Linked DNA regions of Caenorhabditis elegans. The protein of the gene in region 1 purifies or fractionates together with the protein of each later gene. This does not show direct contact. Each region holds a gene or a part of one and is shown on either strand. Other genes may lie near its edges.

The links.
Region 2: the proteins of feh-1 (region 1) and apl-1 purify together in Caenorhabditis elegans (affinity purification with western blotting, with the first as the bait; one study listed by BioGRID). This does not show direct contact.

What each region holds. Positions count from the first base shown.
Region 1 is NC_003281.10:2,547,739-2,553,035, forward strand, and holds the start of feh-1 (Protein Fe65 homolog), read left to right. Parts: upstream 1-2,181; 5' UTR 2,182-2,193; coding exon 2,194-2,237; intron 2,238-2,331; coding exon 2,332-2,446; intron 2,447-5,297. UniProt on the Caenorhabditis elegans protein: Modulates pharyngeal pumping activity, at least in part by regulating expression of the acetylcholinesterase genes ace-1 and ace-2.
Region 2 is NC_003284.9:5,111,798-5,118,611, forward strand, and holds apl-1 (Amyloid-beta-like protein), read right to left. Parts: upstream 5,070-6,814; 5' UTR 5,068-5,069; coding exon 5,002-5,067; intron 4,542-5,001; coding exon 4,374-4,541; intron 4,084-4,373; exon of another isoform or gene 3,952-4,083; intron 3,886-3,951; coding exon 3,759-3,885; intron 3,576-3,758; coding exon 3,342-3,575; intron 3,206-3,341; coding exon 3,113-3,205; intron 3,060-3,112; coding exon 2,926-3,059; intron 2,787-2,925; coding exon 2,577-2,786; intron 2,524-2,576; coding exon 2,327-2,523; intron 2,284-2,326; coding exon 2,101-2,283; intron 2,052-2,100; coding exon 1,853-2,051; intron 1,801-1,852; coding exon 1,672-1,800; intron 1,624-1,671; coding exon 1,303-1,623; 3' UTR 625-1,302; downstream 1-624. Other genes in the region: C42D8.1 (MARVEL domain-containing protein), read left to right, coding at 459-533. UniProt on the Caenorhabditis elegans protein: Required for normal developmental progression throughout all life stages. Specifically required for the molt stage during all larval transitions and morphogenesis.

The DNA.
Region 1 (5,297 bases):
TCTTTTTTGATAAATTCACAGTTTTCAATAATATTGGCGCGAATTTCAAATTTTTTGAAAAAATTAATTGGTTTAAAAAAATTTTGATTTGAAATTTGAAAAATAAATTTTCGAAAAAGTTTGTCGGGAAATTCAAATTTAAAATGTTTGCTATGAATATCAAATGTATATTTTCCAATTTAAAACATTCAATTTCAAATTTTAATTCTGGCGCGAACTAAAAATTTCAAAATTTTTCAGATACAAAATATCGGTGGCCGAATATTTTCTCATTCGCGGCCACGTACCAAAAAATGTGAAAAAAAAATCTCCAAATAAATTTGTATGTGAATCGCCAAAAAAAAATTTCGACGCAGATCTCTAAAAATATTGAAATTTTTCAAATAAATTTGGTGCGAACTTTAAGAATATTGATTTTTAAAAAACCTTTGAAAAAACATTTTGGCGCGAAATTCCAATTTAAAATTTTCAAAATTTCCAAAAAATTATACAATAATGTAGTCATAGTTTCCCAATTTCCATGAATCTTTTTTTTTCCCAAAAAAAAAAGAAAAAGTTACAAATAGTTAAACCCTTAACAAACTTTACAACTAGTCATCATCAACACTCATCAACATTCCTATGTTAACCTTTTCCCTGACTGAAGAAAAAAAAATTCTTTTCCCTTAAAATTTCAACAAACACATCTTTCTCTATGCTTTTTCCATACAATTCTCATATTTGCCGACACGCCTGTTGGCATCGCTTGCGCAGCTCGCGGAGCAGCTTCAGGAGCAAACAGTCTCACACATTGGGAAGAGGAAAAGCAGACGAAGAAGAAGAAAAGAAGTCGAGATTTTAACATTTTTGTGTGTGTGTGTTTTTATAAGTGTCTCTATCTATTTTCCCACCATTCTTGAACCATGTGTCAATTTTTTTTAACGCAACATTTTAAGCTCATTTTTCGAACTTTTACAAGAAATGTATCTTATTTGAAAAAAAAAACATTTAAGTAGATAGACAGACCCCTATGAAAATTCATATCATTTTGAACTAGAAAAAATGTTGCTCCCGGGAGCAAATTTTTTTTAAGACCATTTTTTTCGATAAATTTTTTTTTCGCACTCTATATGTTTTTTCCAAGTCTAATTAATTTTTACAATTATATTTTCACCTCAATTTTGTTTCTTTTTTTTGAAAAAAAAATCGGAATTTTTTGAAATGCGAAAAATTTTCAAAAATTTTTTTTTGAAATTTTTTTTTCTGTAACTTTGATATTACCTGAATTTGCCATTTTAACTATTTTTAAAAATTTTTCAGTGCTATAACAGTGCTTTAAATTTACAGAGACTTTCACTTTTCCGAAAGTTTTAGAAAAAAAAACAATTTTTGACTGAAGATTTTTTTGAGAACTTCTGAATTTTTTTAAATTTCAGATCGGCTTTTTCGTGATAATATTTTTTCTAATATATTTTTTCAAATTTCAAAAACATTTATTGCTACGAATTAAAGTTGATTATATCATAACTTTTAAAATTGTTTTCACCTTTCTGCATTTATTTTAGTTATAAGTTTTTTTCCGTTAAAGATGTTAAAAAATTGTCAACTAACAAAATATTTACTTAATATTTTTGAACAATTTGTTAGTTTGACACTTTTTAATATCACTTATGGTTCACAAAATATGCACGTTTTTAAAAAAAGTGCAAAGGCCTGACTTTATATGTTAAAACATGCATAACTTTTTAACTATAAGTGATATCAAAAAGTTGTCAACTAACAATGTGTTTGAAAATATTTTTTAAACATTTTAATAGTTGACAACTTTTTGATATCTCACACATGAACAAAGTTATAAGCAATTGAAAGTTAGTGCAAAAGCCTGAAATCTGAACACGATCAAATCTGTGAAAAAGAGAGGGACAGGTGTTATAAAACACTGAACAACTCAAAAACTATTTGAAAAGGAAAATTTAAATTAATAATTCTAATTACAGCATTTTTTTTTAACTTTAAGAACAAAACAATTTTGATTTGAAAAAAAAAGAAAAAAACTTGGAACGTTCAGCCAAATTCCGAGCGTCATTGCATAAAAATTTAGCAAATATTTATTGAAAAATCCAAAATTTAAGTTTTTAAACAATATTTTGCTCTACTTTTCTTGTTTTTTTTTCCAAAAACTCTTCCAAAAAAAAAAGCAAATTTTCAGCCGCAATGAGGGAAGGAACTCCGCGCGTCAGAATTGAAGTGAATAAGGGGTAAGTGAGTGCTCTTGACACCTCCCAGCCTCCATTTAATCCGTCCAGTTTCTTTTCTTTTTTGCACAGTTTTTGCTCATTCCTTTTATTGCAGCAGCAATCGACCCAGTCAATTTGTTTCCGAGTCAGAAGAGCAACGGCTGCAGCGAGTACAGAGTCGAGATTCTGATACGGCTACTATGAATTTTGTAACCGATGATCGAATGATGGTTAGTTTGAATTTTTTGATTTTTGCCTGCCTGCCTGCCTGCCTGCCTGACTACCTGCCTGATAGGTCGCCTTGCAGGCAGGCCGGTAGGCAGGTTCTCAGGGCCCGAATGCTGGCGTTTATTCTACCTATTGAATTTGAGTTTATTTAACTTAAAAAGAGAAATGATATTAATAAATTAGAAATTCTTTTTGAAATTTGAAGAACAAAAGTGTACTTTGCTAGTAGGTCGCCTTGTAGGCAGGTTTCTACGAATACCTGCATATTTTTTTCAAGCCTACAAGCATGCCTACGTGCCTGCCTTTTAGGAAAAAGCATGAGGCAGGCGTAGGCCGTGTTGAAGGCATGCTTACTGTACCTTCCGATTCAAAAATATACCGGAAACCCAGTTTTCTGATTGCTTATCACATTATCATAATAATAATAATCCCATTTTCAAACAACGTGCTCAAAAATTTCCTGTTTCCTCCTGTCGAAAAAAGAAAAAAAACAATAAAACACAATTTTGTAGGAGCACCCTTTTCTCAAGAGTGGACATTGTGTTGAAATTGGATATCCGTTTTTCTTTTTTTCAATAAGTGCATATTCTTGTTCCCAACACTGTTCGTGACTCTTTTTTCTTCAAATTTTTGCATAAAAACATTTTTCGGATCGTTGTTCCGGAGTTCTTAGAGATCTTTCTTTTTTCGGCTCAGTAGACTTTGAAGCCCCGTATCTCTGAAAGTTTAAGTGCTAGAAAAAAGTTACAAACTCTAAAAATATTGAAAAAATGTGATAAATATTTTTGTGGTTGACAAATTTTTGATAACTTTAAACAGAGCTGAGATATGAGCCCTTAAAGTTAAACTTAAATATTTCCTCTGATACATTTCCCAATATTTATATCTCTACGGGACACCAATATTTGCTCAACTGCTCAAAATACAAAACACATTTTTTTGGCAAAAGAGAGTGCATAGTAAGCCAAAACAGAGCACAAAAAGATCATAAAACTTTTTTTTGGAATTTTGGCATAACTCAACTTGGACAAGGCAAAATGTAAAATGACCGCGAAAAAAGTTGATGGCCTAGTTTTTTGAGTTTCCACGGCCACGTAGCAAAGGGCCACACTTGACTGAGTGGTCACAAAAATTTCGTTTTTTAATTGGGCGGAATGGGCGGAGTGTCGTTGTTTGTGCGACCTCTGACAAACCCCAATAAAAAATTTTTTAAAGAAAACTTTTTCTTCCCGCCGAGCACATCAGAGTACTCGAAAAGATCCAGTTATATGTACGTTCTAGTACTACTTAGTAAACGAAAACTTTCTCAACTCTTTCTCTCAGAGAGAGAGATCTTGGGAAAGAAGAGATTTATGTGCACAAAGAGCATTTTGGTGGGGGCATCCACTTCACTTTTGCCCTCCCCATATCCTCGGGGCCCCCCATTTCTACCGCATTCATTTATTCCACTATTTGGCGGCTCAGGGCTGCTGGCATATACAAAAAGATTTCATCTCACCAGCCTCTCACCTCTTTTTTTTTTTGGAAGAAGACGTTGTCGGGGTCTTACACGAAAATCAGTCCCCATGAGAATTTACCCCCGGCGCCTCTTTGTTAAGACGGCTTCCATATTGGTATTAGTGTGTGGCCGTGAGATATTGATGGCTGGGAAACTCCTCACGACCGTGGCCTAGTTTGCTTTTTCTAGACCACGGAACCTTTTTTCCGAATTTTTTAGATTTTTCAGAAATTTTAAGGCTCGTTAACAAATTTCTCTAAAGGTTTTTTCCGAAATTTTCATTTATTTTTCTACATTTTTCGATTTTTTTCTAAAAATGTTTAATGTTTTTCCCGAAAACTTCCGATTTTTTTTGGAAAATTTTTTAGATTTTTTAACGAACTTTATTTTCGAAATTTTTAATGTTTCTTCTTGAAAAATTGATTTTTCTTCCACACCGCCTAATTGCAATATTAAGGGTATTAGTGACGTCATTATTTTTCTAAGCCAACTGTGACGTCGTTGTGTCGAAGGGGTTTCTAGGCCATCTGTGACGTCACTGATTTTTCAAAATAGTGCCTCACTAGTTTCTAGGCCACGAGTGGCGTAATTTCTCTTCCACATTGTCTTAGCAAACCTTCTAGGCCACGTGTGACGGCATTTCTTCCCCACTCATGACCGTTAAATTTTCTATGCCACCTATGACGTCATTTCTCTTCCACCAAATGATTTTTTGTGTTCCCTCCAAAGCAAAACCTCATAAAAAGTGGTTAGTCACCAAAAAAGAAAAGCGCAGGAAAACTTTCGACCGCTAGCCAATAGAAGAAACCAATTTCATTCGCCTTTTTTTTTGCTCGTTTCATTCGATCTTCATCTCTCTCTTTTTCTTTCCTCGCCTAACTTTGTTTTTTTTCTTCCATTTTCTTGCAAATTGAATTTACATGTATGTATGTGTACGAGATTATCGCCTAATATATGTTTTTCTCTCCTCTGAAGCTCCTCTCTTTTGTCCGCTTCTTCGTAATTTGCTAATCCTTTGGCTGGAAATAGAACAGCTGAAAATAGGATTTTTCCGAAAAAATTCGAATTTTTGTTCAAAAAACTTATGTTATTTCTTCTAAACGTCTAAAAATCCGATCTTTTTAACAAAAAATAGCCCAAAACCCCAAAAAACCGGAAAACAACGACGCTCCGATATTCCGCTTAACCACCACCACGTGTTGTTTAGAATTTCGATAGTTATCGTAATTTTCTGCAAAATGAATCAATATTTTTGTTTGGAAAATGTGATAAAACAATTTTAAATCACAAAATTAAATTTTCGCATAATTAAACTATGAAAACCGTGGGAAATCTAAACAAGACTAAACAACACG
Region 2 (6,814 bases), on another chromosome or scaffold:
TAGAATTTTAGAACAACTCTATACATTTTTCAATTATTCTTGATATATTAAGACTGTTTACTGTCATTTAAGCCAAAAACCTACAGAACCTACCCCCATTTTAAAGTATAGTTATTCCCAAAAATGATGTTTTTTTAAATTCTTTTAAATGCTTAATTATAATAGACAATCTGTTAAATCATCAATTTTTAAGAAGCGACGTAACATTTTTTTGGACTTTGGCTTTAAATGGTCATTTTGTGACTGTAAAACCCATATCGATGTTTTAAATCTTTCTGATCACAATTATAGATTTGACGTCATATTTAACGTTTTAATGTTTTGTTTTCATTTAAACTCATAACCTCTAAAGTGGTTATGACCGGGAGATTGTTTTTTTTTCTAAATTTACAAAAGATAACAGACATTATTTATAATTTGCTTAATGCACTCAATTTATCATATAGATTTAATTTCAGGGACCGGGCTCGATGCGTTCGACAACGACCAATACAAAGCGATCTACTGATTTCATTTTCCAAGAAACTTTCTAATTCTGACCGTCTTCTTCTTTCAAAAAAAAAAAACGTTGTAATGTGCAATTTTGATTTCTCTTTCTTTCATCATTATTACTAAATGTTTCCTGTATTTTTCAGATTTTTTATTGGAAAACTTTCACAATAGGTTGTTACAAAGAAGAAAACGAGTAGAAGTTCACGACAATAAAATGTGTGAAACGAAAAAAGTTTAGAAGCATATTGGGATGCAAATTCATCTTTGGACTTCTTTATTAATACAAATGTTTGTTGACTTTCTTAAGAAATAAACTCAGTAAACGAGCAAATCGGAAGACAGAGAGAAGTGTGCATAATAAGACTATCACAAGAAATAGGGTGTATTTCAAGATCGGGGTGGTTAGGAAGTGTTGAAGAAAAGAATAATGAGTTGGAAAAATAGAAAGGTGATCGGTGCTTCTGAATACTAAAAACACGTGAATTATATTCAATTTAGTTCGTGTGAAACGGATAGATCGATATCAAAAAATACGAACAACAAGCATGAGTGTCCGGTTTTTGTTGTTATGACGAAACAGCTACGGGGAGAATTGGTTTTGAATTTAATTTTGAATATTTTTGATAATTTTGTAACACTCACAACTTTTTTATTTGAAGAGAGAGGGAGGGTGGAGGGGAATGGAATTTTGAAATTTTGATGTTATTCAGAACAAAAGTTTGAAAAAAGGTGTATCTGAGATAGGAGAATGGATCATTTTGGTGTAAAATTGTTGGTAGTAGTGAGTAAAAAAAGTACGGTCTTGGTGGTTTAGGCCTTCGAGTCGAAGAATGAGTACGTCGGGTTTTCATAGCCATTGACTTGCATTCCAGCGACATGACGCTCCTCTGGTGTGTAGACGTCTACCTCGATGAAACCGCGCATGGCACGGCGACGACGAGCGTTGGTGATGGCAAAGGCGATGATGCAGATAGCGGTGATGAACATCGCCGATGCCAGGACGTATGGTTGGAAGACGCTGGACGCTGAACGCTCGACTTCTGGTGATTGGATGAGCTTGTCGTGGCGGTAGAATGAGGCTGGCTCATCGATGATCGGCTCAATGTCGACACGAAGCTCTTTGATGTTTTTCTGAAAAATGCAAACAATTAAATTAATATGAAGATTGGAAACCCTTACGTCTTCATCTTCATCAGATTCGGATGAAGTGGACGAGGAAGAGTCCTCATCATCGTCCTCATCATCAGTTTGTACTGATGTTTCCACCAATTTTGGAGCCTTCTTCTCCTCTTCTATTGTGACCTTGATCTGAAAGTTCCATAAATTACAGATAAACTTTCAGAATTTTTTCAACGCCTACCTCCTTTGGCTTGATGTCAACAACCTTGACCTTCTTCTTCATGTCAGGTGTCTTCTTAACTTGCTCATCATCTTCATCCTCGTAATATTCATCAGCTTCCTCCTCGGAGTCAGATGCTTCGGTTGGGAGAACCTTAGCATTGTCGGTTTCCTTGACTGGCTTGGCGGTGGTTGTTGGAGCCTTCACGTCAAGTTTGGCGCTGAAAAACGCTTGTAATGAATGCTATGGAAAAGCGGAGTCTTTCTTACTTTTTGCTGAACTCATCATCGTGGATGATTGGAGTGAGTTCACTGTCCTCAACTGAGATATCTGGTGACACCTCGTCTCTGTAGTCCTTCCAGTAGGTGACTGCAATTGGACGGACATATTTCTCAAGATCTGGGAAGTCGCGAAGCATCGCAAGAGTTCCGTTGATGCGAAGATCGATGTAGCTAAATAAATTTTAGTTTAATCAGGAATGTTTGATTCTATTACCGAAGCCGATGAATAACGGTTGGCTTGTATGCGGCAGCTTCCTTTGAATCGGCCTTCAGCAAGTGACGGTATCTGTTCAAAGTGTGCATGCGATCCTTCTCCTCTGCACGGATGTAAGCCTTAAGAGATTGGAGAACAGAGTGCTTGTTTGGCTTGTTGACGTGAGTAGCGAGAGCTTGACGATAATCGTGTGTAGCCTGAAAAAACACATTATTTAGTTTATGTTGTCTTACTTCGCCTAAGTTCTTACATCTCTCTTCTTCTCGTTAAGCATTGCCTGAACACGCTCCTCATGAACCGCCTCGATCTCCTTTCGCATTCTCTTGTGCTCTTCTTCGAGCGAAGAAACGGTCTTCTGGAAGCGGGCGTTCATTTGAGACTTGAACTTCTCGGCTCCCTTTGGATCCTTGGCCTTTTGCTCGTTGTATCTCGTCTCCAAATCTCCCCACTCCTTCATCACCTGAATATTCATAGTTTGTGTCATGCAATAATTTTTAATTAAAAGTCTTTTTTAACTTCAAAGAAGATTCAATTTGCGAAAGTGGTATCTAATACTAATTCCATAGTCTTCCCTTAAATCATTATCCACTTGATCTCACCTTGTCAACCTTCTTTCTGTGCTTCTCATCCATTCTCATTTCTGCCTTCTTAAAATCGTCGTGCTCGTTGGTCCAGTTGGCAATCTTGAAGTATGGATCTTGGGAACTTGGTTCCTCTTCGTCCTTCTCGTCGGCTGAAAATAAAAAATATAATCTTTAATTAGAAAAAAGAATTATCGTTTCTTACACTCTTCTGAGTAATCATCCTCATAAGCATCATCCTCATCGTCGTCGTCGTCTTCGTCTTCTTTAGTTTTTTGAACATCAGTCTTGTTCGTTTCTGCAGAGAAAAAAAATGATGAATGATCTACTTTCCGTTAATCCCTCTACTTAATGTTTTTATTTCCACCGTACTAAGTCATATCATCTTATGACACTTACAACTGACTCATCTGGAAACTGTCATGGTAACTTACGGTCATTTGGACAGCAGACGAATTCAACACCGGTGAACATGTCGAGTGCGCATGGCTCAAGAACGGCAAATGATCTGACAATCATATCCTTGTTGCCCTTGGACTTCTTGGTCTTGCACTGCTTTCCAGCTTCATCCTTCCAGTGCTGGTAGTCGTTGCATTGGTCGCGCGAGTTGACGTGCGAGAATTGACAGTCGTGCGGGACTTGAAGAGCTTCCGAGTGGAATTCTCCGTCTGTAACGGGGGGAATGAGATTAAAAATCAGTTTCTAAATATCTTTCTCAATTTCCCTTTTCACTAGATATTTAATTGACACGGAAACTCATAATTTATTTTCAGTGAGCTTTCTTAAAAGAAACGCAAAAAAGCTGACATCCAGCTTCTTGTCATAGTATTATTTGATGTATTACAACTCACCAATGCAATGGTACGGTCTGACACTGTGAGTCCACTTGCATGGCGATCCTTCCTCGCGGCACCAGTCGGAGATGCTCACTTCGTGCGAGTATTCGACGATGTTGGTGATGTTCATGGATGGATAAGCCTGAAACGAGATTTGATTCGTTACATTTCTTGTGTCCCCATTTCTTAGAAATGTGTACAACTACCAACTTGAGAAACTCATGTGTGCAATCGAGTCGCGTGTTCAACTTCACCTCCCCATGGGACTAACCGACGGGAGGTCCTTACTCAAATTTACGCCTTGTTGGGAGAGAAAAAGAAGCACGCGGGGAATGTGTATATCTTTGCTCTATGTCTGTTTTGTTTCCGGAACAATCTATGAGAAGCAGCAAAAAATCCCTGAAGGATTGGAAGTTTTGTGAAAGCCAGAGAACCATGGTTGTTTAAAGTTTAATTGTCTTCCTTGCAATGTTGGTCCTATCCCTATTTCAATTGTATTTGTGACATTTGTGACTACACGGAGCAAGACTTAGAGCATGAAAACGCCAAATTAAATGTTTGCAAAAAAGGCGTAAACTTTTATTGAAAATTGCTTGATTGTGTTCAACCCAAAACCATACAAAACAATACCTTGCGGCAGTACTTGAGGATGTCAAGTTTGCCAGAGAAGCAGGTGGCATATCGTTCATCATCAGTCTTCCATGATCCCTCTTCGGTCATATACTGGTTGCGGTATCCACATGAAAATGCGACCATTGGAATGAACTTCTCATGTCGCTTGCTGCCTGCTGGGGAACCCTGCAAAAATATTTTGCAATTGGCACTTGAGTGGGGGTGCTTGAGAGCTGTGAGATTGAGTCTTGATTGCTTTTCGACAAGTTAGGCTATTATAATATGTTCATGTAAGACTTCCAACAGTATGCAAAATATGTAATCCATTCTCTGAACATTGCCCTTTTACCCCCAGAGACCAGAAAGTCTAATAAAGTGCACTTGCATTATTCAATTTTGTTCGTTTTCGTTGCTAGGAAATAGAACATCTAGTCGAGAGTTCTAGTCATATATAATCTTAGATTAGTTCTGATTAAAGTGATTACACAATAAGCATCTTTGATCAAAATATTGAGTTCTTTAACAAAAATAACTTTGGTTTTCTAAATGCCAGTCGTATGACTGGTCGGGTGGTTTCAATCAATTTGGTGTTACGAGTCAGTGGGAATCGACCCGCGCAAACCCCTTTGCAATTAAACAAACATACCTCTGCGTAAACTGTGGCGACAAGAATCGGTATAAGTAAGCCAATCATTAGTTTACCCACCGTCATGGCTGAAAAAATGTCTGAATTAGAAAAAAATATAGGTCAATCTGTTGAAAAGAAAAGAGGGAAATGTTTTAGGAATTGAAAAAAAAAACATTGTGGAAGAGTGCAAGGATGTAATGATGATGAGTATTGTGCGTAAAGTTGAAGTGATATCGTATAGTGGAGCGACTTTTATGACCCTCCCCGTTTCAACCAAGAACTGAGAACATTTGGGTTGCATGACATGACGTTTCGGATCAGATCAGCCGCATCCAAAATTGGAATGAAGGAATTAGTAAATTGAAGAAATGGGGGGAAATGGCTGTGTAGCATCACACACACTCGGGAAAGCAGCGCCGACGACAAATCACGGTAATGATAAAAGTGAACGTGGGTAGAGGGTACAATCGATAAATTACAAAAGAAGATTGATAGAAACACGATGAAGAGATGGAGTATGACGAAATGAAAACAGACATCGCTCTCACAAGGGCAAACATACAAGTAGTTCTCTTCCACAAAACTTTTGAAGTGAAGTATGTACACATCATACTGCCAAAAATGGGTATGGAAACAAGCACAAGAATTCTGAACTTTTGAAGATTGATAGACAGATATAAGGAACCAAAGAGCTCAAACACAAGAAGGAAACGGAACCAAAAAGGAACAAGGAAGAATGTTTAATTTTTTGTCAACTTTTCAATGTTGATTCGTCGATTTTGTGGTTTTTTCTTTATCTCGTTGTGCCATGTCGAATGAAACCCTGAGGCCTCCCTCCGTCGAAATTCAGGCACCTAAAACCCAATTATCGTTCAATGTCGATGCTCCGAAGATGCCGAGATGGTTGTTGCAAGCAGACACAAAGAAGAAGAGAAAAGGAGGATGTACAAATGAAAAAGAGCATCAGCAACAGGAGCAGCACAAAAAACTAAACAAGGTTAGCTCTTCCTAAACAAGATTAGAGATGAAGAAGAGAGACTTAGAGACTTGTAGAAGAATGGATACTGTACTTGGAAACTTTTTTTTCTCCTATTTGATTTAGATTTTTATCAAAGTTCTATTCACTCTATCTGTTTTTGATTCAAGGATGGATGAAAAAAATGTGGATCGGGAAACATCGGAGAAGATTACTCAAAAACGCAGTGTCAACATTGGGAGAAGATATTTGATATTTTAAATATATTTGATGTCGGAAAACGAATGCCTTCCGCAGTTGGTTTAACTTTGCCTCTGCACACACTCTGGGTGGCGTTGATAAGGTGAGAACATTAAAGAGTGAGCTGCGGGCAGAATAAGGGAAGCTGGGCGGAGCTAGAGCAGAAATGGGGCGTTCTTGACCAGTTTGCCAAACTGCATGAGGTTTATCAAAGGATAAAGGATAAATAAGTAAATAGAAATAATAATAACATCCGATAGATCGTCTCTAAGAAGAGGAACGGGAAATTTGGAAAGAGGACGCAGAAGCACCGTTTTTGGAAACCATAGATATTGCTAATGCTCATGTGATGCACCTGACATCAAAATTGAAAACCCATTTTCAAAAAAAAAACAGGAAATATCAAAATCTATGGAAATCCGCTCCACTGTCTGAATGTTTTTCAAACGGATGTTCAAAGAGCAAAAGTAGACAGGAAGCAATATGACCTTTTTCCGCTTGACATTTACATTTTCGTGGTTTGAACTCTGTAAGATACTCGCTGAGCACTTTGTAACTTCATCTCACTACGTGGGGTTTTTAATAACTAAGTTAGTCGAAGATTTTCAAACCAGT